Styela clava: one gene and its partner. The protein of the gene in region 1 purifies or fractionates together with the protein of each later gene. This does not show direct contact. Links are inferred from orthologs where the notes say so. Each region holds a gene or a part of one and is shown in the gene's direction. Other genes may lie near its edges.

Region 1 (8,596 bases):
CACAAAATGCAGCTGCAAATAATAACAATTGGTATAACTAATATTTAAATGTAGATTTTTGATGTCTACCATGCTAACTACAATAGAAACTGATAAATTCTTTGTCAATAGATTGAACTTACTATTCAAAACATTCATTCGGTACATTTGACATTGAAACTTTCCAACTAAGCATTTCAACACTAATTATTAGTTAACATTCTAAATCAGGTATTTATGCCAATCAGCAATAATATATTATCTCAGCAAAACTTCAAAACATATAATTAAATGGAATAGTATTGACGAGTGGGCATAGATAAATTTAGTTCTGAAATTGAATACTAACCCATCCATTTATGGTTGTTTATTTTATCAATGACATCTTGTGCAATATTAGAACTTGGTGTCGAAGCTTCTTTCAACAACTGCCATGGTGATAAGTATCGTTGTGCTTGAAGTTCTCTTCCTTTCAACAATTTGATTGGAAGATGCTTTGCTGGGACAAGAGATAATGAGTGTGAATCTCATTATTAGAATAAAATCTTTTAAATGTATCAGAATAAGGATTTACATATTTATCCCGGGGGGAGGAAAACCGATAAGACGGCTTAACCATATGGCGAGCCACGGCCTCTCGTCGGGTTACCATTCCATGTCAGGTATGGGATTAGTTAGTTCTTTGTTTTCGAAGCATGGACTTGATGGTGAAGGAAGCCGTAACCGACCTGCGGTTACGTGAACCACCCTACTGCGACGAGGAGTCCAGCAATCCTCTCGCACATAACCATCCCGCATGGGTTTCGAACCCACGCAGCATAATTAGAGGTTTTGCCAGTTTTCCTTTTCAGAGTATGTGTATTACATGCAACGATTCAAGCTTAGATATACTTGCATTAGAGTTGCATATACAACTATTTCCCTTACATTTTATCTACTGTATATTTTAGTATTGTTGTTATACCACCTGTTTGGTTGGAACTCACATTTTGGAAAAATATAGGCTGATTAACTGAGAGAATTTTTTTTCTATCATAGCATTCGTGAGTTTATAGCAATTTTAATCATGTTGCGGCTGGTGCGATTGGTTTAAATTATTATCAAGACAAGCATGGCGCAATCAAACGTGACTGCCGTCTTGCCAAAACACCCGTTTCAAAGACAAATAAAGTGTTTGATATATTGAACCGAATGTCAGAACATCATGGAATCGGAGAACTGTGCCCTACTGCACATACAAGCTATCAATACAAGATACCTATATTTAAATAACTGCTTGTCTAAAGATTCGTAATTGAGGTAGAAAGTGATCACATGAAAAGTTTCTTTAAATATAACTCACCTATACTCGGTGGAATATGATTGATGATATACGTTTCAATTTCAGAGTATAAATGTTGCAAGCCTTTCTCATTCCAGTGATGGCTGTTCAGAAGATCAAATTGTTCTGGCCTACAAATATAGAAAAAATTGAAAGTGATAAATTCCTTGATGTATAAATTACATATAATTAGAACATTTAGTTGTTGATGCATATGCCATTGAAGACAACAAAATACTTCCCGAGTTATTATAAAATGCTAGTCCAAGGCCATTTTGTACCTATTACAGCATTACTGTATTATTGTACACTGGCTTGATACCCACACTCAAGGATCAGAGTATTGCACAATTTACCGATTCAAAAAAGCACGCTTTGAAGATAATGACAAAAACAATGGCAGGGGAACAATTGGCAACTATATAGTCAATTAATTTACCTAATATATATGTAAGATCTGTATTTTTCTCTATCTAATACAGATAATGACGGATGAAGATTTTTTTTCAAATTCTCTATCTCAAAATAAAGAAGGCAACTGCTTCCTGTTGCACAAGATGCAACTCCAACAAGTGCCCACTTCCACTTTCCTTGAAAAGAAATTATGGTTAAACTTTTAGTCCAGTAGACTAGTTCAACAGAATCATAGGCTACACCATAATAATGAACTGATGACAGAATGATGCAAATACTACAGTACTATGGGGTATCTAGTCATACAGACATAAGACTTATAATAAACCATTGATAGTAAAGTAATACCATTAACCCATACCGGTACCAAATTCTGAAATACCAGACAGTTAGAATTCAAATAAAATCCCTGAATCCAAATTTCAGCATTTAGCCTTTATAATACCTGAATACTGTAATACTAATATACCTGTATATAATTATTAAAAAGCGTGTGAAAAACTATACGGTACTACCGATGCTATTAAAATAGATGGACAGGCAAGCAAACTTTACTAATTAAACAACATCAGAAAACACTGTCCCGCGACATCTACATTAAATTTAATGATAGTGTAATAATAAATGAACTTCGCTTACCGGCAAACCACTTCACCATAATCTGTACCTACTAATCTAAAATATTTCCATTATCGACTGATACAATATATGAAGTTACAAATGACCGCCATAAACCTTACACTCCCATTTTTGTCAAGGCCGTCATCGACAAAAATGGGGCAACAAAACGCAACACAAATGTAATATGTATCACATGTTTCAGTTTTAACCTGGCACTCCGATTGTCACTACAGCTGATATAATGACATCATCATTTTGACAATACAACCACAGAGAGAGTGCTTCTCTCTCATTTCTGCGGCTCTCTCGTTCCAACTTCCATACACATCCAACTTTTAAATATGCATTTCTCATTGTATTTGTAGTAGTAGGCTATATATTTACGATTTGACAGAAATCAATTATTGGCGTCGATTTTTCGTGCATATTTGCCTGATATTGATTCGTTTCTTATTAAATATGAAACACTAATAGATTCCAGCGTACCATACCTGATTTGTCTGGTTTTTCTTTTTCAATTTGCGTAAGTCGTGGATGAATAATATGGGCACCTGCTTTTACGTTAGCTTGAGCGACACCAATTCAAATTCCTGACACCCCCCACTGTGCATTTGTGACGTAACAAGGAGCAATAATATGGGCACCTGCTTTTACGTTAGCTTGAGCGACACCAATTCAAATTCCTGACACCCCCCACTGTGCATTTGTGACGTAACAAGGAGCCTATATGACAAGCAGGTATATTGTAAATCCTATTGCTAAAACATAGCACGTTTAGTAATCGAATATAAATAAAGTGTGAGTTTGCAGAATCAGTGCCCAGTTGTCTTTGATTAAAAATGTCGAGGAACGCTAAAGCTTAGCAAAATAGATAAATCTTCAAAAAGAAAAGCTGATACTGAGCAACATATTGTACCTAGCACAAGCAACGTTGGAAAAAAAAAATTGTCAAAAGGAAATACAGGGAAGATTAAGTCAAATATGAATCAAATGAAGCAATGTTTTTGAGTAGACTTATGCGCCACTTAAATACGGAATATGCCGTTCATGCACGCAGGAATATAAATTATTTCCAGCTGGTGTTAAGTCAAAATAAGAAGCAGGAGTGCTCTGTGAAGTCGTCTTTTACAGTCTCCGAAAGAACATTAGAAACTAGTTATCGTGTTGCAATATTGATTGCGCGTCACGTAATGATCCTAATATAGAGCGATTGTGCTCATTAAAACAACCACAATTCTCTCATTGTTATATGAACATAAAACAAAGTTACATCTTGTATTTTTCCCTTGTTGTGATGTGCCGTCAAATTTGGCAAGTTTTATAAGCGTGCCGCAAGTTAAAAAAGGTTGCGGAGCACTGGCCTAAATCTGTAGTACCCGAGCTATATATATAGATAGAACTTAGAGTGCGATTCGCTCTCGTTTTGCGGGACCGACTGAAGACGTTGGTGAAATCTCTCCCGTGCAGGTTTTTGCCAATTGTTTTTGTATCGACTGCAAAAATCACAGTACACGTATAGAGAAAAAGTCGATTTACGAGAATGTGGATTTCGGAAGCAATTCAGAAGACAGTGAATAAGATATTAAAGTCAATTTGATAAATATTATTTATTAGTTTTTTTTTCAGACATCTGTTAGTGTCGTAATCCTGTTTCTAGAAAAAATAATATTGCTTTTGTTTCAAATACACAACCACATAAAATAAAAAAAGACTTATAATATTTCTGTTCACTATGTTATGTACATGCTGTATTCATTTGATTTTCTTCTTGATTTTTCTTGAAGTGAGAAATAACTAATTTATTTGTGTTTTTGTGATCACGATGTTAATTTGTGACTTCATTGCTTAAAAATAAATGCGTCTCATAGCTTCTAATAAAATGAATGCAACTTCTTATGCTGTTCTTTGTTGTAAACTGCCTGTCTGCTTCTGGTCAGAGAGGACGTTACAGAAATACATTTGAGTTAGTGTTTAGTGGGGCTCTTGAATTGCATAGTTCTTATGCTGTGTTGTTTTAAACCTATGATCATTCATTTTCTGGGAACGCCCTTATATTCAATTTCGCATAATGATTGTGGAACAAGCTGTAAGCGTTCAGTATGTTCATTTTCATACAAAACTGAAGAATTTATTTAGTTATCAGATGTGCGCTATGAACTCATTTCCTGGGCGTTTCTCAAGGCCTCTTCTCATGGCCTATACCCATAAGGATATTTATCCCGGGGGAGAGAAAAACCAATATGACGGCTTAACCACATGGCGAACCACGGCCTCTCGTCCGGTTACCATTCCAAGTCGGGTATGGGATTAGTTAGTTGTTTGTTTTCGGAAGCATGGACTTGATGATGGGGGAAGCCGTAACCGACCAGCGGTTACGTGAACCACCCTACGGCGGCGAGGAGTCCAGCAATCCTCTCGCACATAACCATCATCGCATGATTCGAACCTGCGAATCTAATCAGAGGTGCGGTGTCGAGCGTATTCCTAACGCTCAGCACGATGAGCCACACCGCCGCGCCGATCCATGATAGAGATCTACAAGTGTTTAATAACTTACTTATATTTTTTAACACCGTCTTGGCATAACTCAACTAATACAAACTAAAAAAGACGATGGAAAGGCTACCCAACCAAACGCAACATCGAGCCGTAATAACTGAGATTCATCCGCCTGCTAACAGCTGATCAAATTTTAATTGTTACGTCATACAGAAGTCCGCTTTCATTGGCCAATGTTGCCGTAAAAGCAGAGAATATGGGAAAGATCGTAGCACATATTTCTTGTAGTAAACGCAGAACCATTATATAATGGCTCTGGTAAAAGCGTCTTTTTTGTAAAACGTGCAACTTTTGGAAATGGAAACAAGGTATTATTAGTTACTAAATTTCTAGGGAGGAACATTTTAGAATTATTTTTAGGTAGTTTCTTTACGTGCGCTACGAAACTCACTTTCTAGGCTTTTTTTCAGGGCCTTGTCTCACGGCCTATCAATTAATAATGTTTACTTCAAACGGGTTTCATATCAGTAACCATCGATGCATCAAATAGGAAAGATATAAGGTTTATGTTCGCTATATTTTGCCCGGTATGTTAATCGTTGATCTTGCCAATTAAATATTTGCAGTTTCAGATACGTACGGCCAGTATGGTCTTGTGTATACATCCCGTCTTCAATGTTGATATTTACTAACTCCTGTGTTTTTGCTTTTACGAGACGAATAAACATACATACATACAAATAAAAACCGATCAGAAATGTTTTGGGGTCAAAGGTAGACAGCAAGATTCTTAATTTCGATGTTTCCATTGGTTACCGGTATGGTACATGCCAAAAAGCGTAACGGTAGGCCTATAATAACTATAAATTTATAGAGTACAGTATATATAACCTGTATACCGATATTGTTATATTCAGTTTGTTTATTTATTGCTGCGAACGTCAGAAAATGGAACATTACCACATTCTCGGTAGAATTGGAGAAGGTGCACACGGTATAGTTTATAAGGCGAAACATATACAAGTAAGTTGTCTCAATCAATCAATTTTATTCGGTCACTCTGATACAAACAAAACACAAAACAACAACAAAGGGACAAACAAAATACAGAGGACCTGGAGGACGGGCCCAAAAACAGAATAAAACAAAAACACGATGTAACATCGGGCAACAACTTATAAATTCAAATTAAAATATGAGACGTGTATGTGCTTTTCCTATACAGATATATGGATTAAAACATTCGCTGACGAAAAATGGTGATGTTGTGGGCCTACTTCAACTATATTGCAAAAATAACACAGTGACAAATTATTTTTTACTAAAAAACAAGCTTGGTAAATGGATTGGATGTTCCATAGCAGTCTATGCACGAATCATGGATTGGGGTATTGGGTTCTTTTGTCGTTTTCGGTTGGTTCACTTTAAAATCATTGTATCCGTTCCAATGCTTCCAACATTAATAGCGAATTTCCACGCACGACCACCATTCAGCCATTCCAACAGGTGCAGTGATCCCATCTTTTCTACGCTCTGTTCCATCATACACGACTAGATTCATAAAAAGATCGAAACCTCGCAATATACCCGTAACAAATCGTCCACCATTCAACTTTAAATCCAATCTTTTATCCATAAACTTCTTTAATTATAGTGGATGGGCTTTGCTCATGTTGATAATGCGCGATACAGAATGTCTGTAGTGAATCACGTGATCATTCGCCGAAATAATTTTACATACCTCCGTGTGATCATATGACCGTCAATTGCACGTTCGCACTATTTTAATGTTACATTCGTTTTCAAGGTAACATACAACATATTGCTGCATTGACACCTTTGTCATCCCAAATAAATTTATGAAGATATTTTATACAGGCGCGGCGGTGTGGCTCAACGGGCTAAGCGTTAGGAATACGCTCGCCACCGCACCTCTAATTACTCTGCGTGGGTTCGCAGGTTCGAATCCCATGCAGGGATGGTTATGTGCGAGAGGATTGCTGGACTCCTCGCCGTCGTTGGGTGGTTCACGTAACCGCTGGTCGGTTACGGCTTCCTCCACCACCAAGTCCATGCTTCCGAAAACAAACAATACAGTAAAACTAATCCCATACCCGACTTGGAATGGTAACCGGACGAGAGGCCAGGGTTCGTCATATGGATAAGCCGTCTTATCGGTTTCCTCTCCCCCGGGATAAATATGTAAATCCTATCCTATACAACTAGTTATTTTACTTTGATTTTGTCCTTTCAGAGTGGGGAAGTTGTAGCATTAAAAAAGGTTCCCTTGCGAAAAATAGAAGATGGTATTCCAAATCAAGGTTTGAGAGAAATTAAAGCTTTGCAGGAAATTGGTGGAGATTCTGAAGAATCTCAAAATGTGAGATTATAACTATGATGCTAACATTTTTGTAATGTCTTATTTCAATTATTTGAGTCTCAACATACATCATTTTATTCTTTTTCATAGGTTGTCAAGTTATACGATGTGTTTCCCCATGGAACTGGATTTGTCTTGGTGTTTGAATACATGCTTTCAGATTTGTCTGAAGTAATTCGAAACTCTGAACGACCCCTGACAGAAGGTCAAATAAAAAGTTACATGATGATGCTGTTGAAAGGAGTTGCATTTTGTCATAAAAGCAACATAATGCATCGCGTGAGTAAACTATTGATCATTGAAAATTTATTAGATCATTTCAGGAGGCTTTTCCATATATTCTAGTTATTACTCCCTTGGTGTGGTGGTATTTTTACTTCAACATACTTTGCTTCAATATTTTATCGCGCGTTCCAAGCACTATCTCCTTCTTATCCGATTACAAACACTACTACACTAAAGAAAAAATAGTCAAAACAATTTACAATATAGGATTTGAAACCAGCTAATCTACTGATAAGTTCAACGGGTCATTTGAAGATTGCTGATTTTGGATTAGCAAGAGTTTATCAAAATCAAGATTCTGACAGACAATATAGCCATCAAGTTGCAACAAGGTATATTTTTAGACAGTTTTTATTACTATTGTCAGTCATGTGCCACAAAAGTATGTCATAAAAGTAATAAGTTCATAGAATAATGGATTCTATCACTGATACTGCCATTTAATTTTTAAATATAAGTGATACTTCTAGCGTAAATACAGATAATCACATCCCGTATTAAACTTTGTTCTCTATGTCTACTACCACCACAATTTTAGTATCTTAATGGTTTGCCGTTTTAATGTTAAGATGGTACAGAGCCCCAGAGTTATTGTACGGCGCAAGAAAATATGATGAAGGTGTTGATTTATGGGCTGTTGGTTGTATTTTTGGTGAGATGTTGAACAATTCACCATTATTTCCAGTAAGTATTTGTTGATGTCTAATATGTGTATTTCAAAAAAGTAACGATTGAAAATGATATTGGTCACCAATTACCATAAAGCACAGCTATTGTTGTACTATTTTTTGCTTAATTGAAAATTAATCATATTGTTTGGCAGATGATTCTGACTGCTGTCATATTGCTATTTTACAGGGTGAAAATGACATTGAACAGTTGTGTTGTGTGCTGAGAGTTCTAGGAACACCAAATGAAAGTATTTGGCCCGGGATGTCATCATTGCCAGACTACAATAAAATTACATTTCCAGACAATCCACCAATACCACTTGAAGAAATTGTACCAGATGCATCTTCAGAGGCACTCAACTTGTTGAAAAAGTTTCTTGTTTATCCTTCTAAGGAGGTCAGTCTAAGCATATAGTGACCACAAAT
Region 2 (8,139 bases), on another chromosome or scaffold:
TAGGTTTTGCATTCCCTGGAAGAAAATTTTTCTATTATGTGCTGATTTCTTTACCTTTGCTCAGAGATGAGTCTCTTTTACTCCAGAGTGACTGTTTGTAACTTTGCTCAGATATGAGTATCCTTTACTTTGAGTGAGTGCATGTGACTTTGCTCAAAGATAGGTTTTATTCACATGCAATGCACTAAGCTTAGGTCACCGTCTTATTACCTATCGATCTTAAGATTGGTAAGTATGTTGATAGGTATCTGTCTGTCTGTTAGATGAACGCGATATCTCACGAAGGCGTAGTTGAATCTAGTCCAAACTTTGCGTGTGCATTCATCATATCTCGGACCAGCAGCCTATTGATTTTGGATGAATTATGTCTCATAATTAGCGAGGTATTAATTAATTAGTTATGGGACACGCGGATTCACTATAGAGTCATGAATCGAAACTGCAGTTTTGATCGATAAGTCTTTGGTCTCCGACTGATATTCTCGTTCATAATTCATTGGCTTTGACTTGTCATTATGATTGAGCGGTCTCATCAGCTTTCTTACACATTGTCATATACGGTAAGTAAAATGTTTTTATTTTATTATTCAAGGCCAAAGCCAAACTCTATGAGAAAATGTCATCAGGAAACCTGTTGCCAGATGAAGAGAGTTCTTCATTATTTCTGGTTGATTTTGAGCAGAAATCCATGGATGCCAGATTACAGAAGACAAATAATGAACTGGATATCAAACCAAAAGTTGGTGTAAATGTGGCAACAGAGTTAGGTGAGCAATTGTAAATCAAGGATTTTGTAGGGAATTGAGAATCTTAGGAGAAGTAAGCTGGTACGATCAGTAATCAGTAGTTTATTTGTCACCATACTTTTTACCAAGACATACAAATTTCAATAAATAACAAGAGATCGATGCTCAAATATATGGACACGGTGTAGTATCGTATACAGTCTACTCCGAAAATTTCAAAGCATTTGGTCCAGTACTCAGAAAGAAAATTGATTTTTTTCTGTGACAACGAACAACAACAACATAATAACGAAGCGATCCATATGTCCACTCTATGTCCAATAAACAAACCGCGTTCCAGGGTGAAGGAGACGCAGAAAACCAATACTGGTTATCAGCACGAGCAGTGGTTTTCATAAATAACTCGGGAAATTAATATAAAAAAATGGAACTATGTATGTTAATTGAAAAAAATACCATGAGGCGATCTGCTATGCACAGCAGTCGTACACGAAACAGAAAACGACTCTGAGCACCACTAACTCTGTCCCCATGAAGTTAGCAGTAGTGAGGCAGTCTAGAGCCTTTTTCAAATAGATGTGTAACAATCAATTTAAAATATTTCTTTTCTTATTCTCAGCTTCTGAACTCCAGAAATCAGAGAATGAATGGGTTGAATATACAGATAGTTTGGGTCGGACGAGAGCGTGTTTGAAAAAAGATCTGGACAGAATGAAAAGAATGGATGAAAAACTGAATGAAGAAAAGAGAAGAAAACCGGAAATACAGGAACCTGGAGGTACTGATAAACCATGAAATTCTGAAGCTTTATATTACCTTATTAACTTTGTGTTGTTCATTCACTTTGAATGAGGCTGGTTTCAGGCAGTCACTGATATGTAATAAGCGACTATGTTATAGTAAATGTGTAATCTTCCTCTAAGCTCATTAGTGCAATATTAGTGGGAAGCAAAATCATAGAAGAATCTTAATTCAATTTCACTTGGAAAATTTCCCTCTTCAATTTTAAAAATTCTTCAAAATTTCTTTTTTACAATAAATTTTCCCATTTTTATCAGAGTTATTTTACAGTAATTCATAATTTTCAAAGTTGATAAAAATAGTAAGGGAGAAACCTAACCATGAGGATATGTACATCTCTTGATTATAACTCTAATAGTTATCTCTAAATAAAGAGTAGGATAGGATAGGATTTACATATTTATTCCAGGGGACCACAACCACGGCCTCTCGTCCGGTTACCAGTTCAGGTCGGGTATGGGATTAGTTAGCCAGTTATTTGTTTCCGGAAGCATGGACTTGATGGTGAAGGAAGCTGTAACCAACCAGCGGTTACGTGAACCACCCTACGTCGGCGAGGAGTCCAGCAATCCTCTCGCACATGATCATCCTCGCATGAGATTCGAACCTGCGAACTCACGAAGGGTATTCAGAGATGCGGTGGCGAGCGTATTCCTAACGCTTGGCACCAGCAAGCGGTACCTGGCCAACTTATTAAAAGGACTAAGCCACTCTATTAAAACACATTTCCTAATAATTTTCTTTTTTTGACAGAGAGAACATTGCTGTCTGATGACATGCGACGTGAAATAAAGCGTGAACAATGGGAGAAAGAAGCAGTAGAAGAGATCAACGGACCACTACATTACGAGGATTTACGAGCAAGAGAGATTCGAGAACTCGGCGTCGGATATTTCGCATTTTCGACCGATCAAGAAACAAGAGACACACAGATGAAACTTCTTCGTAAAATGAGAGATGAGACGCAAAAGGAAAGGGAAAATGCCAAAGACGCAGAGAAAAAGAAACGAACAGCGTTGCAAGCGAGATTAGAAAAAGTTCGGTTGGGGAGAATTAAAAAATTAAAAGCACAAGGAAAAGAAATTCCTGAAAAATTATTAAAACCGATTGAACTCTCACCACCGGAGGCAGAAGAAGAAAAACCGACACAAAGTGATGTCACGATAGCTGAAATCACGAAGCGTGACGATGGAGTTCGCAAAGAACGGGAGTGGGATAAAGGAAAAGAGTGGTTGCCCGCAGAACCTACAAAACCACCAAAAAGTTGGAAAGATCCTCATAATGAGCGACTAGATGAATTTGCCCCTCCATCCTTCTACTATGACACAACAAAGGATCATAAACATAATAAAAATAAAAGGAAATATCCGCAAAATAACACACACCCAATTAACCCTTTGAGTACTTCATATAGTGACAGTTTAACCCATATTAGACACGGCAATTCTCAGAGCACATCCAATAGGACAGACAGTGCTAGTATAAAAACTGAAGAAAAATTGGGGGACCAATTTGGTATTTTGAACACTTTGGGACAAAAAACAAATTTTTCATCAAATTCAACTGCGACAAATCCTGGCATTTCCGCAGACATACAAGAAAGAACTGATAGAGTTCTGGATTATCTTACTAGTTCCAGTATAAAACAGGAAAATTCTGGTGCTAGCTCGATTTTGGGTGAAAATAACCCTGATCTGGGCAAGAAAGAACCAAAAATGTATGAAAATATTGTAGAAAATGATGTAAATATGTTTGTTCCTACTGATAAACCAATAACAATGAAAATTAAGCAAGTGCCTAAAAAATCGAAAGTTTTGGTGTCAAAATCTGCGTTTTCTGATGATTGATTTTTGTATATTTACTGTGAAATTTTTTGTTTTTTCCTTTGGGGTCCTTTTCCAATTGGGGTCAAAGGTCATTTTCAATGTGGGGACAAAATTGCTGCCACCTACCAGCATGTTAAATGCATTGAAAGACACTATTAGTGATAAATCTCCTTTAGTTATTAGGGATGGGCCGAGATTCGGATTCGAGTCGAATCCACGCATTTTTTGGACTCTGATTCGATTTCGAGTCCACGTCATTTTTACCGAGTCTATAATCAATACTGTTTTTACTAATTTACGCCTATGTTTGTACTTTTACCTCTATAAATCTCAGCACATACCCTAACTCAGGGGTGGGCAAACTGTGGCCCGCGGGCCTAATCCGGCTCGTTGGGGAATTCAATCTGACCCGCCTGAACTAAAACCAAATTTAGATGCCTTAGCTAAAAAAAAAATAGCCCAAGAAATTTGTTGAGATCCTGACTAAATATAGTTTTGGCACGAAGCTATTTTTTTCCACTTTTGCTTTTGTAACACTGTTAATATTGCTCGTAAAATGTAACCTTTTACGTCACATTTACATGGCCCGCCAGTCTAGATGGGCAAAATTTTTGGCCCCTGGTCCTGCCCTAACCAATCAAAACGCATATTAAAAACTATTGATCGCTTATAACAAAGCTGTCGCCTTCAAAAACTATATATCCTTTTTGGTATACATGTGAACATTAGCGCAATACTTTTGAGTCTTCGATTCGCGTATAATGAAACATGCCTTGGATCAACCCAGGGGGGGAATTTATTCATACCTCTTTTAAATTGAGTTTATTACGTGTAATCTTTTCCCTAAAGAGAGAGCAATTGAAAACATGGCAAATTTTAGAATTTTACATGCACTACTAAATTTCAAGCAGATGTACAACATTGTATTGGCATGAGTGGCATCTACCATTTGCGCACACGCACATAGTAAGAAGTATATGGAATTATGTAGAAGCAATGTAGTCAAAAGCTTTTTATTTTTCATATTGGCATGTAAGAATTTCGAAACAGCCGCCTAGAATTATCGGTGGTATGAGCTACGACGTATGTTTGTGAGCGCACGTTGCTGTAGCATGGTCAAAAACGTGTTTTTCGGCTTCTCCATTATGACATCACGGACTCGGCAGATTCGATTCGAGTCCTCGACCTATTACTCGGATTCGTCGAATCTCTGTAATTCCGGACTCGTCCCATCCCTAATAGTTAGTAAGTCGGTGTGATCAAATATATTTTATATTAATTATAAAGTGCAACTTTAGTTTCATTTTGCCTATTTTTCACAGAAATATTAAAGTAGTTTAATTAGTTTTTTAAAAGAAAAAATGGAAGACATAACTGACAAAAAACCTGAGGATGCCAGCATTACCGTAAACTTTGAGAATCTCCATGCTAATATGGCATTGAATACTTCAAGCGGGGAGGAGCCCAAAAAATTTGATGACGAATTAGGAAAGGGGGAGGACCTATCACAAAAATTTCAAAATTCTCCCGAGAATGACGCTATTCAAAACGTTGACTCGTTAAAAGAAAGTCATGAAGATTTGAATAAATATGGTGAGTCAGCAGATGAGATTGATGATACAGCAAATAATAGTGATGACTTGGCAAATAAAACTGATTACTCAACAAATAATGGTGATAACTCAGCAAATAACGGTTCTGAAATTAAAACTGCTGCGTCAGCAGATAATGAGGATGGTGAAGCAGAAAATCTGGCAACTATGGCTAAAGAGATTATCAAAAATGCAGTGGATGGAGCAAAACAACAAGTAGCCTCGGAGATTGAAAATAATGCGGCGCAAGATGTCGAAAAGAAAGAAGAATGGCTAGATATTCTCGGCAATAGTTTACTACGGAAAAAGATTTTAAAAAGTGGGGAGGGGAGAGATTCGAGACCTAAACGAGAAGAAGAAATTACTGTGAGGTACGAAGCAAAACTAGAAGATGGAACACTCGTTGAGAAAAATGATGATTTAGTTTTCGTTCTCGGAATGCAAGATATCTTGGATGCTATTGATATTTCCGTAGCTTTAATGGAACGAGGTGAAGTGGCGGCAGTAGAGAGTGATGCTAAATACGCTTACGGAAGCGAAGGAAAATTACCAGAAGTTCCACCAAATGCAAAATTAATTTTCGAAATTGAAGTTTTGAAAATACAGGACGGCCCGTTTAGTAGCACTATTGACTTAGATCGAAGAATTAAGTGGGCGGACGCAAAACGACAAGCCGGGAATAAACTATACAGTGCGAAAAAGTATGATGAAGCGACAATGACGTACACTAGGTGCACCAAAGCGCTTGAAAAGGGCTGGATGTGCGAGGAATCGGAAGCAGGGAGGGTACGCATCAACGAATTGAGGATTAAGTGTTATAATAATTTAACAGCGTCACAAATGAAGCAAGAGAAATGGCAAGATGCGTTCAAATCTTGCCGTGCTGCAGAAAAATTGGAACCCAATAATGTGAAAGCGCTTTTTAGAAAAGGAAAAATTCATGTTATGCTTGGAGAATTAGATAAAGCAGTTGATGTTTTAACGAAAGCAGGGAAATTAGAACCTGAAAACAAAGTCATCGCAAACGAAATTGCAAAACATAAAAAGAAATTGGATAAACAAAAAGAGTCGCAGAAGAAAATGTACAGACGAATGCTCGGTACTCCAGATACTAGTGCTTCAATGAAACCAGAAGAGAAAACGTCATTTTGGTCTCAGAACTGGGGCCGTGTTGTTGGTGGAACTCTTGCTATTGGTGCTGTTTTAATTGGAGTCTTTCTCGCTCAACGAAGCTAAACATTTCAATAATTTTCTGATAATTTTTCTGACAATATGGCATCCCTAATGTCAAATACCTATTCAATGTCTAATTAATAAAATATGGCTATTTGTTTAACCCTGTGTCAGGGAATATTAAATCAACAAATTCCTATATGAAATTCTATTTTGATATTGAAGGAACTGCAAAATATCGCATGGGTTTGCTCATTTTACCGATATTATAATCTGTGATGATTGTAATCAACTTCTTGGAGCTTCAGCTGATGGTTGCTCGCCTTCGTTTTATTTCAGTGTGCCATTCATTTCCTTTCTTTACAAAGAAATTTTTTGCAAAAAATAACTATTATTTGTTGACTGTTCATGTTTAATTACACAGAATTCTTTCGATTCAGAGTGTGCGAGCGTGACCATTTAACAGCAGGGGGTTGATGCTGTTTCAATTTTTAATCTCAGCTTTGTCATACTGTATATTTGCTTGGAGCTTTTTTTCAAAATCTGGCATCCCTCCTCTGCTGTCTCTGCAATTGAAAATGTAGGCGTCCAGGTATTCTTTGCATACATGATGGACTCTGAGGGACCGAAATTTTTTTAATAGTATTCTATTATCACTGTAATGTAGTATAAGTGGGTGGACCCCTGGCATTATTTGTGGCCCTGGTAGAAGCACTTTGTGGGCTACTAGAGAGCAGGAACCCGGCTGGGAAACCCCGGCCTTTGTTACGGAGTGATCACCCAAAAATATAAATTTGAATTAATTTCACATAAATATTGATTTTACTGTTCTAATAGTTAATATTATCATGCTTGTTGTGAATATTTAGATACTTAAAAATTGTGATTCCCTAAAAAAGTTATTTTTAGGTTTATCCGGAATTAAGTTCATCGTACAATTCCTCTACCAGTAGGGTTTTCTGCAGCTTATTTCAATCCAGATCATCCAAAATGTTGGCTTTGTATAATTTTACTTAAAAACTTTAATACTCTAATGGTGTACTTACAATTATTATGAATATTTGAAATAGCAATTCCCTGTAAAAGCCATTTTAGGTTTACTTTAAATTGAATTTAAATTTCATTAGTAGATACATCCATGGGAATGCTATAATATATACAGTGATGATTTATTAGCAAATTATGATTTTATTTCTTTTTTATTTTTACGTGTGTATTCCATTCTCTTATAAATGAGAGAAGGCTCTCTATTAAAAATGGAGTTGCGATTCTCTAAGAAAACCATTTTATGTTTGGTTTGAATCCAAATCCTTGTGATCAGTTGATCCATCCATAGAAATGCTTTAACATTGCTTTTAACTTATCCAGTGATAAATTAATAGCAAATAGTGATTTTGCTCTTTTTTTCTTTTTTACTCGGTTCTCTCTCGAGAGAATGTCAAGAGGTCGCTATTAAAAATGGAAATAGTGCTGATAGAAAAGTTGTATTCTCATAGCTATATTTTTTGATCTGTTTGATTTTCGGTTGTAAGCAATTGCTGACATGCTGATAGATTGTATATATGTGTCCAAAAAATTTTGCTCAATTTTATAATAATGACAATTAAAATTCTCTTCGTTTTCATTTATTTCCGGTAGTTCTTATTGTGCTTTTAGTTCGCATTTAGCATACAATAAAATTTATTTAAACATACAATTATAAAATCTGACAAAATTTTCTGGACACATTGTAGTTTTACTGCTTCCAATAATTGATTCTAATGTAAGTAACTGTGCAACCAATGGCCAATATGTTTTTTAATTCTTATTATTTTTTTCGATTCTTGTGTTTTTTTGCAGATATTCGATAAAAATTATAGTTTTATTAAATTAGGAGCATAAAATAATATTACAAGGTGAGTGAATTTATATTTTCCTTTCAGTAAAATGCGTTCGATGCAAGCTCTCTTTGGTTTTACGGTCAAAGTCGGCGTTGTTATGCATTCTCTGATCCTATGTATT

The links. Proteins that work in one complex are often made in the same cells at the same time.
Region 2: the proteins of cyclin-dependent kinase 20-like (region 1) and peptidyl-prolyl cis-trans isomerase FKBP8-like purify together in Homo sapiens (affinity purification with mass spectrometry; 5 studies listed by BioGRID and IntAct, with this or other methods). This does not show direct contact. The link is inferred for Styela clava from reciprocal best matches to the Homo sapiens genes CDK20 and FKBP8.

The regions. Positions count from the first base shown.
Region 1 is NC_135258.1:20,402,926-20,411,521, reverse strand, and holds the start of cyclin-dependent kinase 20-like, read left to right. Parts: upstream 1-5,075; 5' UTR 5,076-5,191; coding exon 5,192-5,202; intron 5,203-5,751; coding exon 5,752-5,857; intron 5,858-7,088; coding exon 7,089-7,214; intron 7,215-7,304; coding exon 7,305-7,493; intron 7,494-7,706; coding exon 7,707-7,831; intron 7,832-8,068; coding exon 8,069-8,183; intron 8,184-8,357; coding exon 8,358-8,567; intron 8,568-8,596. Other genes in the region: protein SERAC1-like, read right to left, coding at 329-478, 1,322-1,431, 1,740-1,890, 2,354-2,372. UniProt on the Homo sapiens protein: Required for high-level Shh responses in the developing neural tube.
Region 2 is NC_135250.1:31,185,238-31,193,376, reverse strand, and holds peptidyl-prolyl cis-trans isomerase FKBP8-like, read left to right. Parts: upstream 1-4,614; 5' UTR 4,615-4,734; coding exon 4,735-6,201; 3' UTR 6,202-7,978; downstream 7,979-8,139. Other genes in the region: coiled-coil domain-containing protein 174-like, read left to right, coding at 593-767, 1,366-1,524, 2,301-3,394. UniProt on the Homo sapiens protein: Constitutively inactive PPiase, which becomes active when bound to calmodulin and calcium. Seems to act as a chaperone for BCL2, targets it to the mitochondria and modulates its phosphorylation state.